3 linked regions of the Drosophila melanogaster genome follow. The protein of the gene in region 1 interacts with the protein of each later gene in a biochemical or structural test. Each region holds a gene or a part of one and is shown in the gene's direction. Other genes may lie near its edges.

What was found. The genes of interacting proteins can lie anywhere in the genome.
Region 2: the proteins of Pbp45 (region 1) and Bdp1 form a complex in vitro, tested with the Drosophila melanogaster proteins (one study listed by BioGRID).
Region 3: the proteins of Pbp45 (region 1) and Tbp form a complex in vitro, tested with the Drosophila melanogaster proteins (one study listed by BioGRID).

What each region holds. Positions count from the first base shown.
Region 1 is NT_033777.3:15,835,504-15,843,283, reverse strand, and holds Pbp45 (PSEA-binding protein 45kD), read left to right. Parts: upstream 1-3,768; 5' UTR 3,769-3,871; coding exon 3,872-4,963; 3' UTR 4,964-5,138; downstream 5,139-7,780. Other genes in the region: spn-E (spindle E), read right to left, coding at 1-966, 1,034-1,181, 1,238-1,827, 1,879-2,012, 2,102-2,754, 2,852-3,585, 5,304-5,546, 5,604-5,801; ND-23 (NADH dehydrogenase (ubiquinone) 23 kDa subunit), read left to right, coding at 6,255-6,294, 6,478-6,929, 6,998-7,159; Arpc3A (Actin-related protein 2/3 complex, subunit 3A), read right to left, coding at 7,734-7,780.
Region 2 is NT_033779.5:13,370,210-13,377,925, reverse strand, and holds Bdp1 (B double prime 1), read left to right. Parts: upstream 1-4,101; 5' UTR 4,102-4,222; coding exon 4,223-5,231; intron 5,232-5,289; coding exon 5,290-5,618; intron 5,619-5,672; coding exon 5,673-6,422; 3' UTR 6,423-6,499; downstream 6,500-7,716. Other genes in the region: CG9302 (uncharacterized protein), read left to right, coding at 1-226, 276-887, 951-1,213; CG6565 (uncharacterized protein), read right to left, coding at 2,086-2,715, 2,775-3,422; ND-B22 (NADH dehydrogenase (ubiquinone) B22 subunit), read left to right, coding at 6,987-7,084, 7,163-7,302, 7,362-7,558.
Region 3 is NT_033778.4:21,684,975-21,691,403, reverse strand, and holds Tbp (TATA binding protein), read left to right. Parts: upstream 1-3,761; 5' UTR 3,762-3,951; coding exon 3,952-4,734; intron 4,735-4,798; coding exon 4,799-5,077; 3' UTR 5,078-5,212; downstream 5,213-6,429. Other genes in the region: CG42497 (uncharacterized protein), read left to right, coding at 295-332, 404-563; Tim10 (translocase of inner membrane 10), read left to right, coding at 616-766, 930-1,057; CG10307 (uncharacterized protein), read right to left, coding at 1,217-1,477, 1,536-2,120, 2,182-2,361; BaraC (baramicin C), read left to right, coding at 2,894-2,945, 3,014-3,300; eIF3k (eukaryotic translation initiation factor 3 subunit k), read right to left, coding at 5,294-5,891, 5,958-6,028. UniProt on the Drosophila melanogaster protein: General transcription factor that functions at the core of the DNA-binding multiprotein factor TFIID.

The sequences.
Region 1 (7,780 bases):
CATTAGAGCACCGAATCCCTGCACATTGGGCATCAGGGTGGTTCCACGGGCTGTCAGTGTCTGCCCGTTTCTACTCTCCGCGATTTCGTGGGCCACTATCAAATGATCGTGGTGATCTTGAGGATCAGCATCCAGGAGAAGTGCATTAACGGACAAATGGTCTATATTCACCCGTTTACTTAAGCCCACACGAGTAATGGATCGCATAGTACATTCCAAAGGACTGTTGGGTCCTTTCAACATTACAACGGTCTTGCACTTTTCCAGCGGAGGCGGTGGTAGATCGTGGTCTTGCGGCAGCTGACAGGATCGCAGATATTCCTCATTGATCTGTTGACGCTGCGCCGTGCTCAAGTTCCGGGCAGATTCTTGACGTCGCAAACGGAAATCATGATCTTTTCTAGACATATAATCTTCGTCGGATCGACGGCACAACATAAGCTCTACTAGCTTATCGTTGATTATGCCATCTCTCATATGAATGAGAACAGCTGCTACATTATTGAAAAGCGAATACACCTCAATATCGATTAGACCGCATTGGGCCACTGTCTTGAGCATATCATTAGCCGCGGTGGACCACCTATTGTTTCCACTGACCACTGAAGAGGGCTGAACCATTGCCAGCCTGCACTCAAAAACACGTGGCGGAAGGTCGCCGTACTGTTCAGTTAGCTCTCTCGGCATCAAACGCATTAGCTGCATGGGCAGCAAAGTGCAATTACCATAGTCGATGAAGCGAACGTAGAACATTGGTTGGCGATTGCTCTGATTCTCTGGCCGGATCACTGTGGCGCGCTGGAAATAACTATCGCGTTTGGCCAACACCATCATGCCCTTTGCGATGGCACTCGCGTTAGTTACGTAATTTCTTAGTTGCTGTGGAGCATTGAAAATTTCAGACATATTTCGAATGCACTCTTCAAAAGATTGGGGTTGAAAAAAGAACTTGCCACAGTTGACGATCTGTAAGATAGGAAAAATAAAAAAAATACTTTGAAATTCTCTAGATTTGTGTGGTGCAGCAGCTTACGCAAGTAATCGACCCTGAAATAGTTTTGTCAAAGACAGATGGCAGCGCAAGAAGCTCGACGTTTAAAGGCTTTGTGGGTGGAATCCAACGGCCCTCAATCACATCTCCAATCCCTCGCTGCTGTACGTAGCTCATAAATGCACTCGGACTGTAAATGATTAAACATAAGCTTCATAATCGATAGTAAAAGCCTTGATAACTCACTTCATTATGTGGATTGGCCGTTCGACACGATTTTGTCGCATCATAACTGCCTTGTACACCTCACTTTGAACTCTGCCCGACACAGGAACATACTTAGATGAACCTTCAATCCAGTCATCCTGTTTGAAAGTGACAAAGACCTTTTGCGAACCCTCTTGAAAAGTAACGTCCATGTTTTCCGGCGGAATCCTGACCTCCTGAAATAGCTCCTTAATGCGCCTAGTGTACAACTCGCCCATGTAGGCAGGCTTAAAATTGGTAAAATATACGGTGCGGCAGGGATCGTGGCCCGATATTGTCTGGTATATATTGCGATCTGTGTCTGCACACGACTCTTTGGAACGCGTAAAGTAGTTTGGGTAGAAGGCACCTGCAATGATCACTTTGAGCATGATCGCTTTTTCACGATCGTCCATCATTTGGTTAGGATTAACAGGAAACGGAATCAGACCGAGATGCGTGCATCGCACACGCAGTTCCTGCACCAACAAGTGTATCTCCTTAAGTGACCGCAAGGAGACGTGGAAACGTTTGGCCCAACGGATAGCAGACTCCTGGTCGTGACCATTTTCCACAATGTTCAAATATGTCTGCCGAAGAAACAAGTTATTACGCTATTAGTAATGCATCGCATAACTTACCAGATACACGCGCCAAATGGCCACCAAGTCGGAGCCAGATCCATCGGAGAAGATATAGTGCATCCAAAATGAATCGCCTAATTGAGACCTACCACCTTCGTGCGCAAACAAGCCAGGCGTCGATAAGCCAGCAGCTACAACATATTTAAAAAAAAAATCATTAATGCAAGACAAAGAATATTCCCCCCGTTATCCTAAAGCTTAACTACTGTTGCCCGCTTACCTATAATAATAGCTTCTTCGAGCATGTTAAAAATATAACCCAATATGATAAGCCGGGACTGACGTGTGTCCAACGGCAGCCGAGACATGATTGTGCCCCAGTAGGTAAGATCGCCATCCAACGGGTCGTAGATGCCGTCTACTGTTAAGTACAGAGCACCCACCTCTTTCAGAAGCAATATTGTATTGTGTATGTCCGACAGATTCGGCGGAGATAGAGCCAATGCCAAGATTTCCACCGGTGATCCCATATTCAGCACTTTGGCCTTGAGCACCGAGTTTTGCAAGGGCAAGCGCAACATTTCTGGTATTCCAAACTCGGGCATTTCCCTCTGATAGAAGTGTTTATTAACCATACGGTAAACGCGTCCACTACGAAGACGACCAACGCGGCCGGCACGCTGACGACAATTGGCTTTGGACGCCCAGGTTAAGCGGAGCGAAGAGAAGCTGCTAGCCGTATCGGTTACCTTTACTTTGGCAAGACAAAAGTCAATAACGTATGAGACATCTGGCACCGTGATGGAGCTCTCAGCAATGTTTGTGGTCAGAATGATCTTGCGGAAACCGGGAGGCGGGGGATTGAAGACATCCCGTTGGTTTTCCGGTGTCATTAACGAAAAACAGCGAACAATAGAGACCTTAATGTTGGGGCTGCAATTAAACAATAAAGATTGGAAATTATAATGATACAATTTTAGCTACTTCAAAATTTGTACAGTGAGCAATTCTCACGGATAACAATGCTTACTCGTTTTCCAGCATACAAGTAAGATTTTCTGCCATCGTGTCGATTTCGTAGATGCCTGGCAGAAAGATGAGCACAGCTCCATAGCGCAGGGCCTCGTCATAGCTCTGCCGCGACTGGATTGCAGCCTTCCGTTCCATGTTGTCAATAATCACTATGATCTTTACCGCTGCCCTGTAACCGTGTTTGTTGATTTCTGGCACCTGCTGGTGTCCCACATCTTCCTCATTCCAAATAATGCTGCCGAGCTGGTCACGGTAGAACTTCTCGATCGAGTGCTTACGTCGATGATTGGTGGTGATCACTGGCGGAATTGAGTTAGTGGTGGTAAAGTAGTCGGACAGTTCCTTGGCATCGATGGTGGCCGACATCAGGATAATCTTTACATGCCGCGAGTTCGTGGCCAGCAAGCGACGCACCACGATCAGAAGAAAATCCATGTTCTGGTCTCTTTCATGCACCTCGTCCAGCACAATGTGGGTGTAGTGGGTCAACGTCTTGTTGTTAATCAAATTGTTCAGCAGCACCCCGGTGGTGCAGTACAACAGACGAGTGTCCTCCAAAGAGTTCGGGCGGTGCAGGCCCACCTGGAAGCTGCACACCGTGTTCTGCTGCCACTCGCGCTCCTGGCAAACTCTATTCGCTATGGAGATGGCAGCTATGCGCCGGGGTTGTGTCACCACAATGTTGCAGTATTTACCGCTTTTATAGGCCTCATCCAAAATGTATTGGGGCACCTGTAAGAATAATTGATTGAATACTAATAATAATTATAAGAAAATATCTAAATATTTACAAAGCAGAACAAAAATGTAATTGTATTTTTTACACATTTTTCAAACAGTTTTTATAGTTTTGCGCTTTTTTTTTGAAAATAGCTAAGCAGTTATGAACACTACATATTTATCGATGAACTCCCCGGCTAGTGTTGTAAAAGCTTATTCCCGGCGAATGTTATTGTTTATATTTTGAGGCTCTTTTGAATGAGAGATGCGCATATATTTCGCGTAATTAAGATTCAGAATGGAGCTGAATATCTTTGACGACTGCTGGGAGCTGGTGCAACGATTTCAGCGATTGGTTAATGATGGCGAAAACTGCGAGTTCGAGGTGTTCTGCCGGTGCTGGCGAGAACTGCAGCTGCAGCACCTCTTCACTGCCCAGACGAACCACACAGAGGTGATAGCCACCACACTGGCGGCCCTGCATGTGGCCAAGCGACTGTCGTGCTCCCGACGCACCACCGGGGACGTTTTCCCGGCATCTCGCGCTCAAAGGATCGGAGGTTTCTTTCTGCTCTACGTAATCTACTACAAGCAGCCCACGCACAACTTTATTAAGATCGAGGTCTCACCGCGCACTTGGCAAGAACTAACAGACTACGCTCTAGATCTGCGCAAGGATAGTCCGGAGCGGAAGGACACTCATCAGATCGCCTACATGCTGTGGCGCCTGACCCAGGAGCAGGCCTTCCGCTTCACCGCGCTCGACTATTGCCAGGGGTTGGACAATCTGGTGGACTACGACCGTGTGGAGACCGTAGCGGGTGCCAAGGAACAGAGGCAGAGTGCCTTGATGCAGAAGCAACAGCGTGCGAACGGCGTCAGTCTCACATACGAACTGGAGGGTCTGCGAGCACTGGACCAGGCAAGCCAGCCATTGTGTGAACTGGAAGCGGCATACAATGCCCAAAAGAAGCAATTGGCGGCTGGTCATGAGCACGCTTTGCCGCCCTCTCAAATATTCGGCCATTTGCGAGAAGTCTTTGCCGATATCCAAAGTGTTCTAGGAGCTAGAAAGAGTACTCCAGATGAGAATTGTACCACAACATCTACAGGCAACCAGTTGGAAGTGCGCCAGAGGGTGCGGAACAAGGCCATGTACGGCGTCGAGGAACGGGAGCCGCAAAACCAGGCGGATGAACTAGAAGTGCAGCTGGAGGTCAACGAGACTTATCAACGCCGCATGTCCTCGGCCACCGTTTTTCAGAGGGAACTTCCAGCAGACGTGCAGCAAGAGTATGAGATGATTGAGTTTAGTGACGACGAGGAAATGGAAGTGGGTGAAAGCGAGGAGGTCACGGAAGAAGAACTCAAAGCTATTTTGGATACTTGAGTTAGTTTATAAAACTTTTACATAATTAAATAACTAGCATTTTTGCGCGATGTGATCTTGTTTATCTGTTGCACATAAAATATTCATTGTATTTAAGTATGTAGGATAGGATATATAACTATATAGGATATAAGTTTCCTAGGCTTTGCTATTCTTATATAAAGAGTTGAAAAGTATATTGAAGATTATTATTTATTATATAATATTAAATACTCTCGACTAGTTTGGATTTGAATTTCAAAAGTCGAGGATAAAAGGTTTAATTATAATTCGCTTGCGTTGGCTTTATTAAAATATAGACTTAATAAAAAAGTTAGGATTTTATTTAAGTTTTGCTCACCTGCGTGGTCTTGCCACATCCTGTTTCGCCCTTAATAATGACTACCGGATGAGCATTGATGGCCGCCAATATTTCCTCGCGCTTGGCGTAGATGGACAAGTTCTTGTCGCGATTCAGATTGAATCTGAACTTCTTGTAGTACTCGTCATCCCGGCGAATTTCGGTCTCTTCCCCCTCATCGTCGGTGTCCAAATCGTCCAGCGTTCGAATGCGTTTGCCTTGAGGCTGTTCGTTGAGCAGCGTCTGGATCGAATTACACATAAACAAACAGAAGTGCTGACGCAAGCTTCCAGTTCTCACCCCGTTCAGGAGACACTTTTCCTTGGCGACGATTTTGCTGACATAGTCGGTGCCGATCAACTCGCGGTTGGGCACTTCGGATGATTTGAACTTCGTGGCCATTAGCCTCGGATCGCTGCTGATGTAGCCTTGCGGGGCGGCGGCCACGCGCTTCAACTCCTTCGAGAAGTCAAAGAAATCCATAACCTCCTGATCCATTTTCCGACATAAACAATGAAAAATTTCACAATTCCGCGTAGCGGGAAAAGTTAAACTGTAAATTGTAGTGGTGGGGATTTTCAAAGTCAATGTTGAAAAGTGTAAAAGTGCGAATTTATATCGATAGTGCCATTATCGAAGCTTTAAGGTTTTTATTAGGGGTATTCGTATAAAAAAAATGTTTTCTTTTTTTTCTCACAGTCTTTCTGGATTATTTGTTAATATTATTTATTATTTTTACACGAATATTTAATTCTTTGTTACATTATTTATATTTTATATCTCATATTTTATTTTTGGTTTATGTCATTAAGAAACTACGATATATTTGAATACGATATTTGAGCATTGAATTTATGTGGGTAATCGAAAGAAACCCAGCTCTAATTTGTTCGGGCAAATTCAATAGCAAAACAACTTCTTTGGCAATTTTAGTTTAATTTGGTCGCAAAAATGTCGCTAACTATGCGAATTTTCACCGCATCGCGCAACGGTAGGTGGCGACCCATCCCCTCACATCCGTTGTTTTCCGGGAAATTTCCCATTTTCGTGGAAATCGCGGCGAGTGAGGTTATGTAAGCTTATGTCATACCAAAACAAAAGTCTAAACTCGCTTAATTCAGTATAACTTTTCGACTTAAGCATGTTATTTAATGGTAAAATGTTCTCCCCACAGGACAGCGCCTGTTTGGCAGCCATGGAGCCCGGCTGCTGGCCGCCCAGCGAGCAGAACCCAAAGATATCGTCGAGGTTCCCAAGGGCTATGTGTATGTAAACAACAAGGAACTGAGCATGGAGTTTGCCGACATCACGGACCGTGCTGCATCCACCATGTTCTTCGGTGAACTCTTACGTGGATTTGCCGTCACCCTGGCGCACATCTTCAAGGAACCGGCCACTATCAACTATCCCTTTGAAAAGGGACCACTGAGCCCGCGATTCCGCGGAGAACATGCCCTTCGTCGTTATCCCAGTGGAGAGGAGCGCTGCATCGCTTGCAAGCTATGCGAGGCTATTTGCCCCGCACAGGCGATCACCATCGAAGCGGAGGAGCGCGCGGATGGCAGCAGACGTACCACACGCTACGATATCGACATGACCAAGTGCATCTACTGCGGATTCTGTCAGGTGAGGAGGAGCAAAGTGGCGCCACAATTTACTAGAAACTAATTGCATCTTTTTGTCCCCCCGCGTAGGAAGCCTGTCCCGTGGACGCCATCGTCGAGGGACCCAACTTCGAGTTCTCCACGGAGACGCACGAGGAGCTGCTGTACAACAAGGAGAAGCTTCTCTGCAACGGCGACAAGTGGGAGTCCGAGATTGCCTCTAACTTGCAGGCCGACCATCTCTATCGTTAAAGTTGCTTGTACCCCTAGAATTCCTTGTTTAGAACGATTTTCCAATTAAAGATCGTTGCTGTGGCTTCGTCTTAAGCGAAAGTCAGTTGTATTTTTTTTAATTACTCAACTGGCCTAATAAATATAAATTATTTATATTCAAAGAGTTCCACGTTGTATTCGACAGATGACAAAGTTTATTTAATTAACAGGCCAATAGAAAGCATTTTTTCCAATGACGGAGCGACTACAAATAAATGAAACTTAGTTAATACTTTACTATTCCGATTTTGATTACACAAATTATAGGCAATAACTTCCATTTGCTGGTCAGTTATTAGAAACAGATATTATTTATGAAAGTTACTTGCAGTTTTATCCACGTTAATTTTGTAAAAAGAATTTACATAAATTAATTAAAACAGAAAGGCTTACAAATTCAAATAATTTATTTAGTGGTTAATGAATTTAATTAATTGTGACACGTTGGCAGTGATACTGCAAATTAGGACCACGCTGCGAGTAAAACTTAATTGAAGGGTATTTTTACCCGTCGTAGAAGCAAAACAAGATACCAGATATTGTGGATAGCTGTTTATTGTCCAGGTCCAGCCAGACTCTTCTCCATGAACTTTTTCTTCG
Region 2 (7,716 bases), on another chromosome or scaffold:
GTCCTGCACTTCAGCGATGCCGCATCCTTCACAAAGCATTTACGCAAGGATATCCGGCCCATGCTTGTCATGTTCTATGTTCCGTGGTGCGGATTCTGCAAGAAAATGAAGCCAGAGTACGGAAAAGCGTCTACGGAGTTGAAAACTAAGGGCGGTTATATTCTGGCGGCTATGAATGTAGAGCGACAGGAGAACGCTCCTATACGCAAAATGTTCAACATAACTGGTAAGTTAACAATTTTTGCTTAGTTTTAAATTAAACGATACATTTACAGGTTTTCCCACCCTGATTTACTTTGAAAACGGCAAGCTGCGCTTTACATACGAAGGAGAGAACAACAAGGAGGCTTTGGTGTCTTTTATGCTCAATCCAAATGCCAAGCCAACGCCAAAGCCCAAGGAACCCGAATGGTCGGCGGATACCAACTCGGAGATTGTCCATCTCACCTCGCAGGGTTTTGAGCCCGCTCTGAAGGACGAGAAGTCCGCCCTGGTCATGTTCTATGCACCCTGGTGCGGACACTGTAAGCGCATGAAACCGGAATACGAAAAGGCCGCTCTGGAGATGAAGCAGAAAAAGATTCCCGGCCTTTTGGCTGCGTTGGATGCAACGAAGGAGCCGTCAATCGCAGAGAAATACAAAGTCAAGGGCTATCCAACTGTTAAGTTTTTCTCGAATGGCGTCTTTAAGTTTGAAGTAAATGTACGCGAAGCATCGAAAATTGTTGAATTTATGAGAGATCCCAAGGAGCCCCCACCGCCTCCGCCACCCGAAAAGAGTTGGGAGGAGGAGGAGGACAGCAAGGAAGTCCTATTTCTGGATGACGACAACTTCAGTTCGACGCTGAAGAGGAAAAAGCATGCGCTGGTCATGTTCTATGCACCCTGTAAGTTTTGCCGCTTGATTGTTAAACATATTTAAAGCTCTACTAAAGACTAACCGTCTTCAGGGTGTGGACACTGTAAGCACACAAAACCGGAGTTTACAGCGGCTGCCACGGCCTTACAGGATGATCCTCGGATAGCGTTTGTCGCCATCGACTGCACAAAGCTTGCCGCGCTCTGCGCAAAGTATAACGTACGCGGATATCCCACCATTCTGTACTTCTCTTACCTCAAAACCAAGCTGGATTACAATGGCGGACGCACCAGCAAGGACTTTATCGCCTATATGAACAACCCGCCTACCTCAGCGGACCGCACAGAGCTGTGATACGCTGTTGCAAAGTATAACGATGCTTCTCCCACAACACTTTGCAATCTCACTTTTTGTATTACCATAAACTGTATTCGTTCCGTTCAGTTTACAATCAGCTTGAATGTCGTCTAGACTATCGAATATTTTATAGAATGTATGCGCATTTTGTAACTATATAGCATACTAATAAATTATGTTATAACTAATAGTATAATTTCATTTTTACTGCGCTTATCCCTCTATAATAAAATAATAAAATTTAATTAAAAATATAAATTAGTATGTTAAATACCATATCAGATTAGTGTAATCCTCTTAAGCCAATTTGATTTGTATACAGTGCACGATAAGAATAGCCGAAGTTCGGGTGAGAAATTGTAATTGAAAAAAGGTAATTCAAGATAATGCTTGACCAATTATTTGATAAGCACGAGTGTTACTATCTGGTGTAGATAATGTTATGCATGAATGAAAATTAATGCCGTAAAATATCAATAGTTATGCAAGACATTGCTTTTTTGTAGACTTCAGTCTCTGGGTGTCTATTTTCGTTTCTTTTATTGTACAATTAATTTCAATAATTTCTATTTGCGTTTAAAACAATTTCTAAACTTAAAATATTTTGGTTTAGCCATATAGCTAATATAGGTATATATTTATTTTTAAGTTTCTCATCAAAGTGGCACTCATGTTAAGAGCAAAACTTCCACCTATTGCACACTTGCTCTGATGTTCAATGGTTTCGATTTCTCTCGCCTGAATTTTAAAGCCGATCGAAGGGATGAACATAAGATGGAACTGGGCTTTCGGATGGTTTGATACGTGGCTCTGTTGGGCAGGGAGGTCTCATGGGAGCGGGAGCAGCCAGGTATATAATGGTAAAGGAGTTAACGACCTGCTTCGGGTTTACTATTGACCTTGCGCCGGCTCAAACTGCCCAACCAACTGCCGCGTTGCTCATTAGCCGTATATTCGTCATTGATAAGCGCGAATCCGTGAAACATGTCCTTCATCTTGATGGCCCGTGAGCAGGCGTAGTTCTTGGTGGCCACGTACATCTTGGTGAGGAACTCGGGCATTTGTTTCTGAGTAACCCAGGACTTAATATTCTGCGGTATGGGTATGCCCGGATCGTCGAAGTACGTGAGGACAAAGTGGAGGCCTGGCTCATGGAAACCGCGAAAGGGCTTGATGACCATCAGGCTCCAATAGTCAGTGACGCGAACTTTTCCAGACAACGCCGGATAGGTGTTGTGCGTGGCTCCGCGGTTGCAAATGAATATCAGCTTCTTGTTGTCGTCTTTTATGTAGCGGCGACAATAGACGTAGTCGCGATTGGCGAACAGTCGTGGCCACTGCATCTCCCAGTATATCAGATGCGAGTTGCTGCCCGGGACGGGATCCTCGCTGATGAGCTCAAGTCTTAGGGCCGTGTCGTCCCACTGGCGACGGTAATCCAAATCCGTTTGAACGTGGAGGAAGTCGTCCGCTGTGATGTCGTCGAATCGAGCATAAACCTGCAAACGGAAAGGCGGCATAAAAGTGAGCCCTAAAAAACTTTTAGATGGCCTCTTACCTTGTATGAGTATAAGGAGGAGCGCTCCTGCCGCCGCCAAATGCTGAATTCGTTTTTGCTAAAGTACGGCTCCCATTTTTGGTCGTCCTGGGCCTGAATGCGTACCGTTCCGGCCGGTGCATTGCGCACGTCCAGATCCAACGGTCGCAGACAATTGCTGATGCTGGTGTCCGGATCCGTCTCCGCCTCTTTGCTGGTGGACGGCTGGGATTGGCCCTTTTTGCAGCGCTGGTTGCCCAGCTGACAGTAGCAGTATTTCATCTTCTTGGCCTGGCAGCGGTCGCACAGCTGATTGTTGGGCAGGGCGTTGATAAACTCAATATCCCGGCGGCACAGATCAAAGTTGGACAAGGCCAGGCGCTCCTTGTTCCAATCGAAGCCATCGCTACCCATTCGCTTGATATTCAGCCCGACGAGACCCACTGCACTCATCACCATTCCCCGCAGCGGAGGCTGCAGCTCCCGGCGGTAGTAGGCGCGCCATAGCTGCTTCAGACCCTGAGTTCCATACACCGACTGGTAGAAACTGAACAACTGCTGAACGCGACGCGAGCGCTGGGCGAAAATCGACTCGCATTGGTAGCTCCAGGCACGCAGCGTTTCTCGGGACTGGTTCTTGATGGCCAGTACAAATCGATTGAACAGCATGCCGGCTAATTCAATTTGTCCGTCGGCCGCCCGCTTGCATAACAACCTACTCAAAAGTGCGGCGACTTCTTAATGCTCCTTCGCTATTACTGTGCCCCCGCACACTTGGCACATTTGTCGCCAGAAAACTTTGGGAATTTAGTACTTCTAGCCAGGACACACCCGATAGGTTTGCCGGAAGCGTTACTGCACGAGAGCTTGGTTAGGATCTGGGCGGACTTATCATGTTTGCCCGATTAGAAAAAACGTGCAACTTGCAATTTGTCTGCTGCTTCTGTTGTTATTCCGCTGTTGTTGTTCCTGTTGTTGTGCCGTTACAGGCAGCAGTGTTGGAAAATCGCAAACCGCCTGCTGAGAGGTGACAGCTACGATCAGTGATCACACTTTTCTGCAACACTGAAACACAAATAATATTAAATTCAACCAAACTTTTACTGTGTACAAATTTTTGACGTGAATCTGGTGAAGTGTGCCATAATTTATACCAATTTATTTTTGACACTGCGAATAAATTTACTTGACATGCTTTCTAATAACGCAGTTATCTCGTTTTTTTTTTATTTGTTAAAAAATCTTTTGGGTACTGCAAGTTTTTTATAGCCATTTTGAAACTTTAAATAAATTGGTTGTCTACTTTCTTACATGGCCAGGACACTGTGAATGCTCTTTGGCGTTAGCCAACACTATACTTGGGAAACTCGTGGTTGCGGCCGCATTGTTTTTGTTGCGCAGATTTTGATTCGATTTGATGTGTGAAACTGCGGTTGAGCCTGGAAGAAGCCTAAGAGTACCCAGGCAGGATGTCCATGCGGCGCCAGCGCATCAAGGCTCCGGCCAACCTGTCGCTTATCAAACGCAAGCCACGCAGGGAGGAGCTCCCAACGGCGAAAAAGGAGGATGAGGAGGAGGAGGCGGTGGTGGTGGAAGCAGAGGCTGAGTCCCCGCCCGTTGCATCGACCCCTGCTGCGGAATTGGAACTAGAGGCTGATGCAATCGCCTTCAAGATGCCCGCAAGCTCGGCTGGGCAGCTGGAAGAGGTATTCCACTCGGACCTCGAGGACAATGTCATTCAGATGGACTTGCAGAAGACCACCAATGGCTTCCCTATGTCGCCCAGCAAGGCTCAAGCCCGTCAGCGTGTGCGACCCACTCCGGTATTTGGCCAGCGACGCAACAGCTTCGTGGGCTCACCCATGGCCAGTGATTATGAGGGCGACTATCAGTCGCCAGCCACGCCCACGCGGCGAGAGCGCTATCTTAGCGGTTCTTCATCGGGAACTCCTTTGCAGCAGCAGGTGCACTCGCCTATGCCTCCGTCCCCCTATAAATACCTACCGCCCGCTAGTCCGGGCATGGGACGCATTCGCACCGAATCCACCTGTTCCACCTATTCCGAAGGAGGTAGCAAGCAGAGGAAGGGCGACGATAGGTCGCAAAGTCAAATTGGACAGCGGTTAAATGCCCGGCGAGACTTTGAAACCCGTTTCAATAAGGGTGTACCCGACAAGTCCACGTTCAAGATGATGGACATGATCTTCTACAATCCGGAGAACAATCCCATGGTGCCCAAACAGTCGGTGACGACCATCAAGGATGAGTCTGGTGGCGATGATTCCAAGCCCGCAGTCAGTCAACTATTGGAACCCAAGGGAGAGTCCACATCCGCTATGTTAGTGCCTCAGCTAAAGCTTGATGCCAATGGCGAGATGATCATTGATGAGAAAACATTGGAGATCGAAACCACGGCCGAGGTGGAGGCCCGCAAGGTGCTAGCCAACTCATCGTTAATCCTAATGGACGAGACTACGGGTGCGCCGCAGAGTTAATACATAAAAGTTGAATACTTAACGAATTTTATACTTTGCAGGAGATAATGGATTCTATAAACGCCACAAGCGCACGCCATACTGGACCTCCGATGAGACCGTCCGCTTCTACCGCAGCCTGCAGATCATTGGGACGGACTTCTCGCTGATGTGCCAAATGTTTCCAACACGTTCACGTCGGGATCTAAAGCTGAAGTACAAAAAGGAAGAGCGAACCAATGGGCAGCTCATAAACAAAGCACTCCTCTATCCTAAGGCCTTCAACATTCAGGAGCTCAAGGATCAACTGGAAGAGGAGGACCGCGAAAGGGAAGAAAATGATCGCAAGTGGAGGGAAATCGCACGAGCTCTTCCGGGAAACCCTAAGAAGGTAAATAATTTGTAGCTGACTGTAATCACCATTACATTTTTTAATTATATTTAGCGTTCCCGAGTACAGCAGCAAAGCAAGGCCTCAAGGGCACTAAACGATGGTGATGTTGTCTACGAAAACGAGCACGTAACGAGTACAAAGCTCGGCAAGCACGCCTGGGCCAAAAGGCGAAAGGAGTTGGAGACCGATGAGAACGACGGAAGTGCGCCGGCCAAACGTAAGCCAAAGGCTAAGCGACGATCTCCCAAGGTTTCAGTTCCAGCGGCAACGGAAAGCCTGTCTGATGTGGCGGCCATTAAGCAGGAAAAAACGATCAAAACCGAACAAACGAGTAGTCATTTGCCAACGGGGGGAGAACTGCAGGCTGAGCTCAATGGCCTCCTCATGGATGATCCGGTGGAATATGACGTAGATGTAAACAAGCCACGTGATAAAACTATTATCAATATGGATGATGGTACCCTAAGCTATGTCAGCGACGTCGAACCCGCCCCAGAGACGCCCAATCGAAAGGCAGAGACATATTTAATAAACTTCATTGAAGACCAAGATCATGAACTTATAACGCCGGATGACCCCATTCCGCCGTCCACTACCGAACCGGATATCGAACAAATTCTCGCCGAGCTTGCGGAAGGATCTCTGGCTCTCGTCTCGTCCTTGGATCCAGAGCACGAGGATCGTGTGCTCAACGAAATCTACATGCTGGACAAAAAAACGGGCGAGTTGTGCGAAACGCCTCTGAAAATACCAGAGCATATTGTTCAATGCATAATGAATGTTATGCAGCCAGAGGACTAACGACATTTTATATTTATATCTTAAGAGTATTTGTTAACAGTTATAATTTATTAAAGCATTTCGCTAGATGTATTTACAAAATTACTTTCTTGTTCCTCGCAAATTCAAAGGGAATTGCAAAAAATGCAAAAATGGGACTGACTTTCTTGGTTTCTTTAACTATTCCTAAAAAAAATTGTAATTAATATACAATTATAACAGATTTGTCAAAATAGTCTTATTTTATAAATAAAATAGGGTAGCAAGAAGGCTTTTAAGCATTAAAAGTGTTTGGTTATAGGTATCTACTCTAGACAGGATCATTTCGATTTCTTGCAATAACAAAAGCTTGTATAAAATGCAAAGATAGCCATTGCTTTTGTATAGAAAATTTAAATCAAATATATAAATATTTTTTGAATTTCCATTCATTTCAGAGTTGCCGTTCTCTAAAATTATTTTTCGCTTCGCAACACATATTTTCAGGCGCAGGGCTTTAGAGCACTGGACTTTTGACAGCTGTTGTTGTTGTTGCCTCGGCTGCGGTAGCAAATTAATACAATTTAACCAATATAGTAAAAAACGATGGCCCAAGTTCCCTTGGCAATCGTCTCGCACAAGCGCCAGGTGTGCAGCCTGTACAAGCGAGCACTGCGCAACTTAGAGTCGTGGTACGACCGACGGTGAGTGCACTCGGCGCAGAATTCCCAAATATTATATAATGAGCAAGTGCATCTTGGTTGTTTCTTAATGCCCATCAGCAATGTCTACCGCTACCGCGCTGTGCAGCTGCGTGCTCGCTTCGACGAAAACCGCTCCAAAGATCTGGGCGAGGGCATCCGCCTCCTAGCCTGTGGACAAAGGGAGCTTTTCGAGACAAGGCATTTCCAGCCCCGAAACTGTAAACAAATTGAACGTATGGTCATATGTCTGTGTATCTAACGTGTGTTATCGTTGTAGTTGCCAACAGTGCCGGTGGCTGTGCTTTCGAACGAGAGGTGATTCCGCCCGACTGGGTCCTGGACTACTGGCATCCCCTGGAGAAGGCCCAGTACCCCGAGTACTTTGCCAAGCGGGAGCAGCGCAAGAAGGAGTTTGTGACCTGGTGGGAGAAGCAGTACGGCAAGCCCGACCCCAAGGACCTGGGACACCACTAATCTTAGAGTACCGTAATCAAATCACATCCAATCTTTGTCTTTAAAAGTAAATCTATTGGAACTCACATTATGTGCTATTATAAATGTGTTGTACTGGAATTCAGTCGATCTTCCTTCTGCCAAAATAATTCATTGCCAATTTACAATAATAGTGTATA
Region 3 (6,429 bases), on another chromosome or scaffold:
AATTAACATGTAGCATTTAAAATTTGCAATTTTTAAATTATATTAAAGCCATTGACAAACATATAAAGTAATTTGGCTGATTAAGTGATAAATAAGTACAGTTCCAGAAAACAAATCAACCTAGCAATACAGATTCACTCTGATTCCGAACCAACTCAAATCACAGTTTCCCAATACAGTGACTTCGATTGAAAGGAATAACCCTATGTGACAGCTGTCACACGTGCCAGTGATAAAAAATCCCGCACACCTTCCAACGGAACGCGTTAGTGTGTCGTTTTTTCGTAGCAGGCTATGTCGTTGGGCAACGCAGGGCGAATCGCTGTCTGTTGGTTTGTAGAAAAATCGTTTTTAGTTACACACACTTAGCTTTACTACATGGTGTTTGAAAATCCCGAAACAGGACTGTTTTGACCGTGGGTGGCGTCTACGCATTTGTGCTGTCAAAGAGATCCGTTGAGAACCGGCGTTACGAGAGCATGCGAGTGCGTGAGCGCATGAGGAAGGCAAACCAAGGGGATTACGACTCAAGCGCAGCATCGGACAGGCGATTCGATTACTAAGCGGCAGCATCCAGTACCTAAAACCCATCAGTAACACACCCACACCCACACAATGGCATTGCCCCAGATCAGCACCGCAGACCAGGCCAAGCTGCAGCTGATGCAGGAAATGGAGATCGAAATGATGTCCGATTTATATAACCGCATGACGAACGCTTGCCACAAAAAGTGCATTCCGCCGCGCTACTCCGAGTCGGAGTTGGGTGAGTACCATAGCCATATAGAATGCTGTATCTAGTTCGCAGCTCTTTCTATGACAATCACTTCAGGTTTCTCTTTGATTCGATTGATGAAATTTAAATAGAAATCTTGAAACTTGTACCACAATTCTACACTTGTAATTTTAATGCTTTCCGCACCCTACAGGCAAAGGCGAGATGGTGTGCATCGATCGCTGTGTGGCCAAATATCTGGACATTCACGAGAAGATCGGCAAGAAGCTGACGGCCATGTCCATGCAGGACGAGGAGCTGATGAAGAAGATGTCTAGTTAACCTGGCACCCATTAACCCACATTTCCGCTTAACCAATGTGCATTTTTGAAGCGCTACGATTGTTAGAGGTACATGTACAAAACACCCCGTTGTAGAGAATAAACCACAGATTTATGTGTGCTACATAATATCAGACCTCGTTGACACAGATTAATGCATTCAAAAGGTGGTGACAAAGCGCGACATTTCCGGCAGCATGACACTCAGATCCTCGATGTTGTTCTCCAGCGCACTCTCGTCCGTTGTGTCCAGTTCGCTGGTCCGCACGCTGTTCGCCCAGTCGGAGGAGTCTAGATCCTGTCCTGCTCCTCGCGCCTGATCCTCCTGCTGTTCCTGGGCGTTGAGGCTAGCTCGACTGGCGAGACCATCGCAAATATTGGCGGGATCTGACGGCAGCTCCACATAAAGGTTCGTCTGGCGCTGTAAAATTCAGAGAAATTCAACAAAAAGAAACACAAAGGTTAATTTGGAGCTTCACCAAAGCCATTAGCTGTAGATCGCGGTGCAGGCTGATGGGATTCTTGGACAGGTTGAGCATGTGAAGAGTCCGCAACTCCTCCAGTTGTGACCGCGTGGGCATCTCGTCAATACAATTTTCGTTGAGAAAAGCAAACCGCAGCTTCTGCATGGCCATCAGCATCCTGGGCAGCCGTCGCAATCGATTCCCCTTAAGATTCAGATGCACCAAATTTCCCAGCAACGCCATGGTCAGTGGCACTTCGCTGAGTTCGCAGCCCTCGGCTGTTAGCCAACGCAGGGAGGACAGAGCGCCTATGGCATCGGGCAACTTCTTCAAGGGATTTCCCCGTACGCCCAGCGTCTCGAGGTGTTCACAGTTACGAATTTCGTTGGGCAGCTCCAGGAGCCCAGTATTATTGCACCAGAACGTCTCCAGCTGAGTGAGGTATCCCAGTTCGGGTGGCAAACTACTAATGTTATTGCAGCTGATGTTGAGAAACTTCAGCCGGACCAAACGACAGATGCAGAGCGGGAATTCGTCCAGTTTATTGTAGTCCAACGTGAGGACCTGAAGTCGCATCAAACTACCAATGGAGGATGGAATCTGTGAGTCAAGGGATTGTGAGTCTATTATTTCATTGGCTATCTTGTGCACCAGGTGCCACCTTTGTTAGCTTGTTTTGGTTGAGGAACAGCTTCATCAGCGTCTCGCACTTCTCTATGATGCCCGGAACGTCGGAGATTTGGTAGTGGGACAGATTCAGGGAGAATGCCTTTTTGTATATGGCATCCTCGCAATTGGCCAGCACGTAGTTGTTGCGGAAAAACTGACAAACCTTCTCCATGTCGCCCTTATTAAGTGTTTACTTCTGCAGCACTTGAATTTGGTTGTCTTGGGTTCCAAACTATTTCACACTCTTTGGAAAACCTACTCTGTTTTTGGCGCTAGTAGCTTAGTTTTCAGGCCTTGTCTTTTGTAGTTTCGAACTGTCGCCCGATTTGCGCGTTTTTTCGTTTGTTTTGAGTGCATGTTATATAACGATTCTCGGAGTCTATATATGCACAAAAATCTCTATTTGCTGCACTCTCTTTTGCCTGCCTTCTCTTCCCAAGCTGATGAACTAAAATTAAAAATTTCATTTCCTGGGTAAAGGCATGCGCAAAATGCTAGATATTGGCAATAGGGTAGTTCTATTTTAAAATTGGTACATTGTCGCTTGTAATGTTTGTCGCACAAGGAAAGCTCAACATTTGACATTACCCATTCTCAGCTGCTAATTGGCAAAAAGCTCGTCTTTCTATCGGTTTATATAAATAGATTGTAAATTACCGAGCCGCTCTCAGTTGAAATTGAGCTCAGTGACTGGAAACTGCATCATGAGATCGTGTACTTTACTTGTTTTCATAGTGAGCACGCTGTTGTTTGCCGGTAAGTCAAGTGTGGGAACCACTAGAACCGCCACATCCATTCAACACTCTCTCTCTATTTTTCTCCAGTGACAAATGCGCAGCAGAATTATGATGGAAGAAATGGTCCCCATGAGTTCGGCACACCTGGAAACGGCATTTACATACGGGGTCAGAACGAAGGACCCTACACAGTGCCCGAAATGGGAGGAACGTTCCAAAACTCACCCTCAAGTGGGCAGCATTCCTACACCGATGAGCACGGAAATACTTACACCCATTCCTCAACGGCAACTGTCACAAGTTTGGCCTATTCAACCTTCGGTTTCAGCATGGGCGGCGTTCTCATTTTTCTAATTAGTTTAATAACCATTTAATTGCACTTTCCAAGTGCAAAAGTTCCAATTAATTAATTTTTAACACATCGTTTTTCAGTTCACGCCCACGAAAATCTATTGCTGAAACTGCATAGATGAGAATAACCATTTTCCTTCTAAGTATTATGCACTATTATTTATTCGCTATTTCTTTTGTTCACCTTATACACAAATTATTTAGCTATTAAACAGAAGTACAACAAAGTATACTTGATTCTTTTGAAAAGTGCGCCATTTTAGTTATCGATTGGCAACAACGTAAGGGAGAGATTTAACGTATAAGAAATATTTGAAACGTTGAAGTGTGATTTTTAACTAAACATTAAAATACAATCAAAGATAATTATTGTTATAATTATTTTCATACATATTTTCAATGAAATACTTAAATGCTAAGAACGTAACGATAAACGTAAGACCCAGCCAGCTATCGATAGTTGCGGCAAAATGCAGCGCTGACTTTGCCATTCTCACAAAACGAGCCACAGGTACAACGACGAACGCGGTTGCATTACATTATTATTATTATTACTATTAAATTAATTTCCCGCTCTGTGGGTATGCAATTAAAACCCAAAGTTGAGCCCGTTCAGCAATCTTGAATTGAGTCACTGAAAAATTCACCGGAGTCCACAATAAACCATCTGTAAGATGGACCAAATGCTAAGCCCCAACTTCTCGATTCCGAGCATCGGAACGCCGCTCCACCAGATGGAAGCGGACCAGCAGATAGTGGCCAATCCTGTGTACCATCCTCCGGCTGTATCGCAGCCGGATTCGTTGATGCCGGCACCCGGTTCCAGTTCCGTGCAGCACCAGCAGCAGCAACAGCAGTCGGACGCCAGTGGGGGATCAGGTCTCTTTGGCCACGAACCATCGCTCCCGCTGGCGCACAAACAAATGCAGAGTTACCAGCCATCGGCCTCCTATCAGCAGCAGCAGCAGCAACAGCAGCTCCAGAGTCAGGCGCCCGGCGGCGGTGGGAGCACTCCGCAGTCCATGATGCAGCCGCAGACGCCGCAGAGCATGATGGCCCACATGATGCCCATGAGTGAGCGGAGTGTGGGCGGTTCGGGGGCCGGAGGTGGCGGAGATGCCCTGAGCAACATCCACCAGACGATGGGCCCCTCCACGCCGATGACACCAGCCACACCAGGTTCCGCTGATCCCGGTATTGTGCCACAACTTCAGAACATCGTGTCCACGGTTAATCTGTGCTGCAAACTGGACCTCAAGAAAATAGCATTGCATGCGAGAAACGCCGAGTACAATCCTAAGCGATTTGCGGCTGTGATTATGCGAATCCGAGAGCCCCGGACCACCGCCCTTATTTTCAGCTCCGGCAAGATGGTGTGCACAGGGGCAAAGAGTGAGGACGACTCCAGACTGGCAGCGAGAAAGTATGCGCGCATCATCCAAAAGCTCGGTTTCCCTGTAAGACAAGACTTTACATTTCCTTTCTCTTCCCGGCGAATCTCTAACGCTTTCTCTCCCGCAGGCAAAGTTCCTCGACTTTAAGATTCAAAACATGGTCGGCTCCTGCGATGTCAAGTTCCCCATACGCTTGGAAGGCCTGGTGCTGACCCATTGCAACTTCAGCAGCTACGAGCCTGAGCTATTTCCCGGCTTAATCTATCGTATGGTGCGACCTCGAATCGTGCTCCTCATCTTCGTGTCCGGAAAGGTGGTGCTCACTGGAGCAAAGGTGCGGCAGGAGATCTACGATGCCTTCGACAAGATATTCCCCATTTTAAAGAAGTTCAAGAAGCAGTCATAAATAGGATAGCGCTTTATTAGTTCTGTACGTGTACGTTTTAAGGTCGGTAGTTCTGGAAGTCTGATCATATGAGTGGGAGCAGCCTGGCGAGCAGCTCCGATCGAGAATAAACCACAAAGTAATTTAGCTGTACGGACAGGCTTTTATTATTATTTTTTTTCCGTTAATTACTATTCGTAAAAATTTAGACAAGGACTATGAACGCGAATGAGGTTCCTACAGGCACTGGGCCATCAGGGCGCCCACGTTGTCGAACTCGATCTTCTCCGTAATGTTCTTCGTCTTGATTTTGTCGTCCTGCATGGCCACGATGACGAGTCCCTGGCCCTGGTTCTTCCAGCCATTGCGCTTGATCCAGCTCTCCAGCGTCGAGTCCTCGATGCCGCCGAGCAGCTCCTTAAGCAGGTCCTTGCGAATTGTCTGGAATGTGGTGCCCACCACATGCGAGACGAACTTGCGAATTGAATCGTGGAAGCCGGTGATGTGGCGGAACATGTTGCGGTTCACCTCGGCCCGCTGCCAGAAGAGGGTGAAGTCCGCCCGCTCCAGTATGTCGGCGAGGTCGATGATTGTCTGCACATTCTCGTCCTTCATCTGCTGGGGCAGCAGCAGGCACTTGGCCATCACGAAATCCGTGTGCGGCAGGCTGGTCAGTGACTTCAGCAGAATGGTGTACGTGATGTCGAAGTTCAGCATGTGCGGGTTGAACTGGTACAGTTTCAGCACGGCCAGGTTGGCCTCCAGGTCGTAGGTGTTGTTCTTAGCCTGATCCTGCACATAGGACTCCAGTGTTTTCAGATGATCTGGGTTGTAGCTGCGGCAAAAGCGAGGTTATGTTTTTACTAAGCATCATAACTGAGTGAATTTGTGCAGTTCTTACCGCTCGATGCAGCCCAGCATCTCCTGGATGGTCTGGCTCTGGCCGTTTTCCATTTTCACGAGGTGCGACATTTTCTACGGCTAATTTGTATGAAATTCGCAAGTTGACGTCGTGTTTTTTATTTTAATAAAGAAAGATTCGGTGTGACCGCAGTGCTGAACTCGCATTTGCCGATGCAAACAAACGGAATGCGGTCACATTGTGTGGGAATCTGCAAGGGGTATTCCTGAATTCCATTTCAAAATTCCCGTTACGCGAAGAAAATATTCGAATTTACAAACTAGTTTATTTTAAAGTTCGAATAACTCGCATTTCACTTTTGCTGGGTATTTAACCACTTTACTTACCTTACGTCTTGGGTTGCTCAAACATTCTGAAATCTTATAGAATCTCAAAAATTGTTTTTCTGCGCAACAAATAAAGTCCAATAAATAAAACACATATTTAAGTGGAAGTTTAATGATTTTAATAC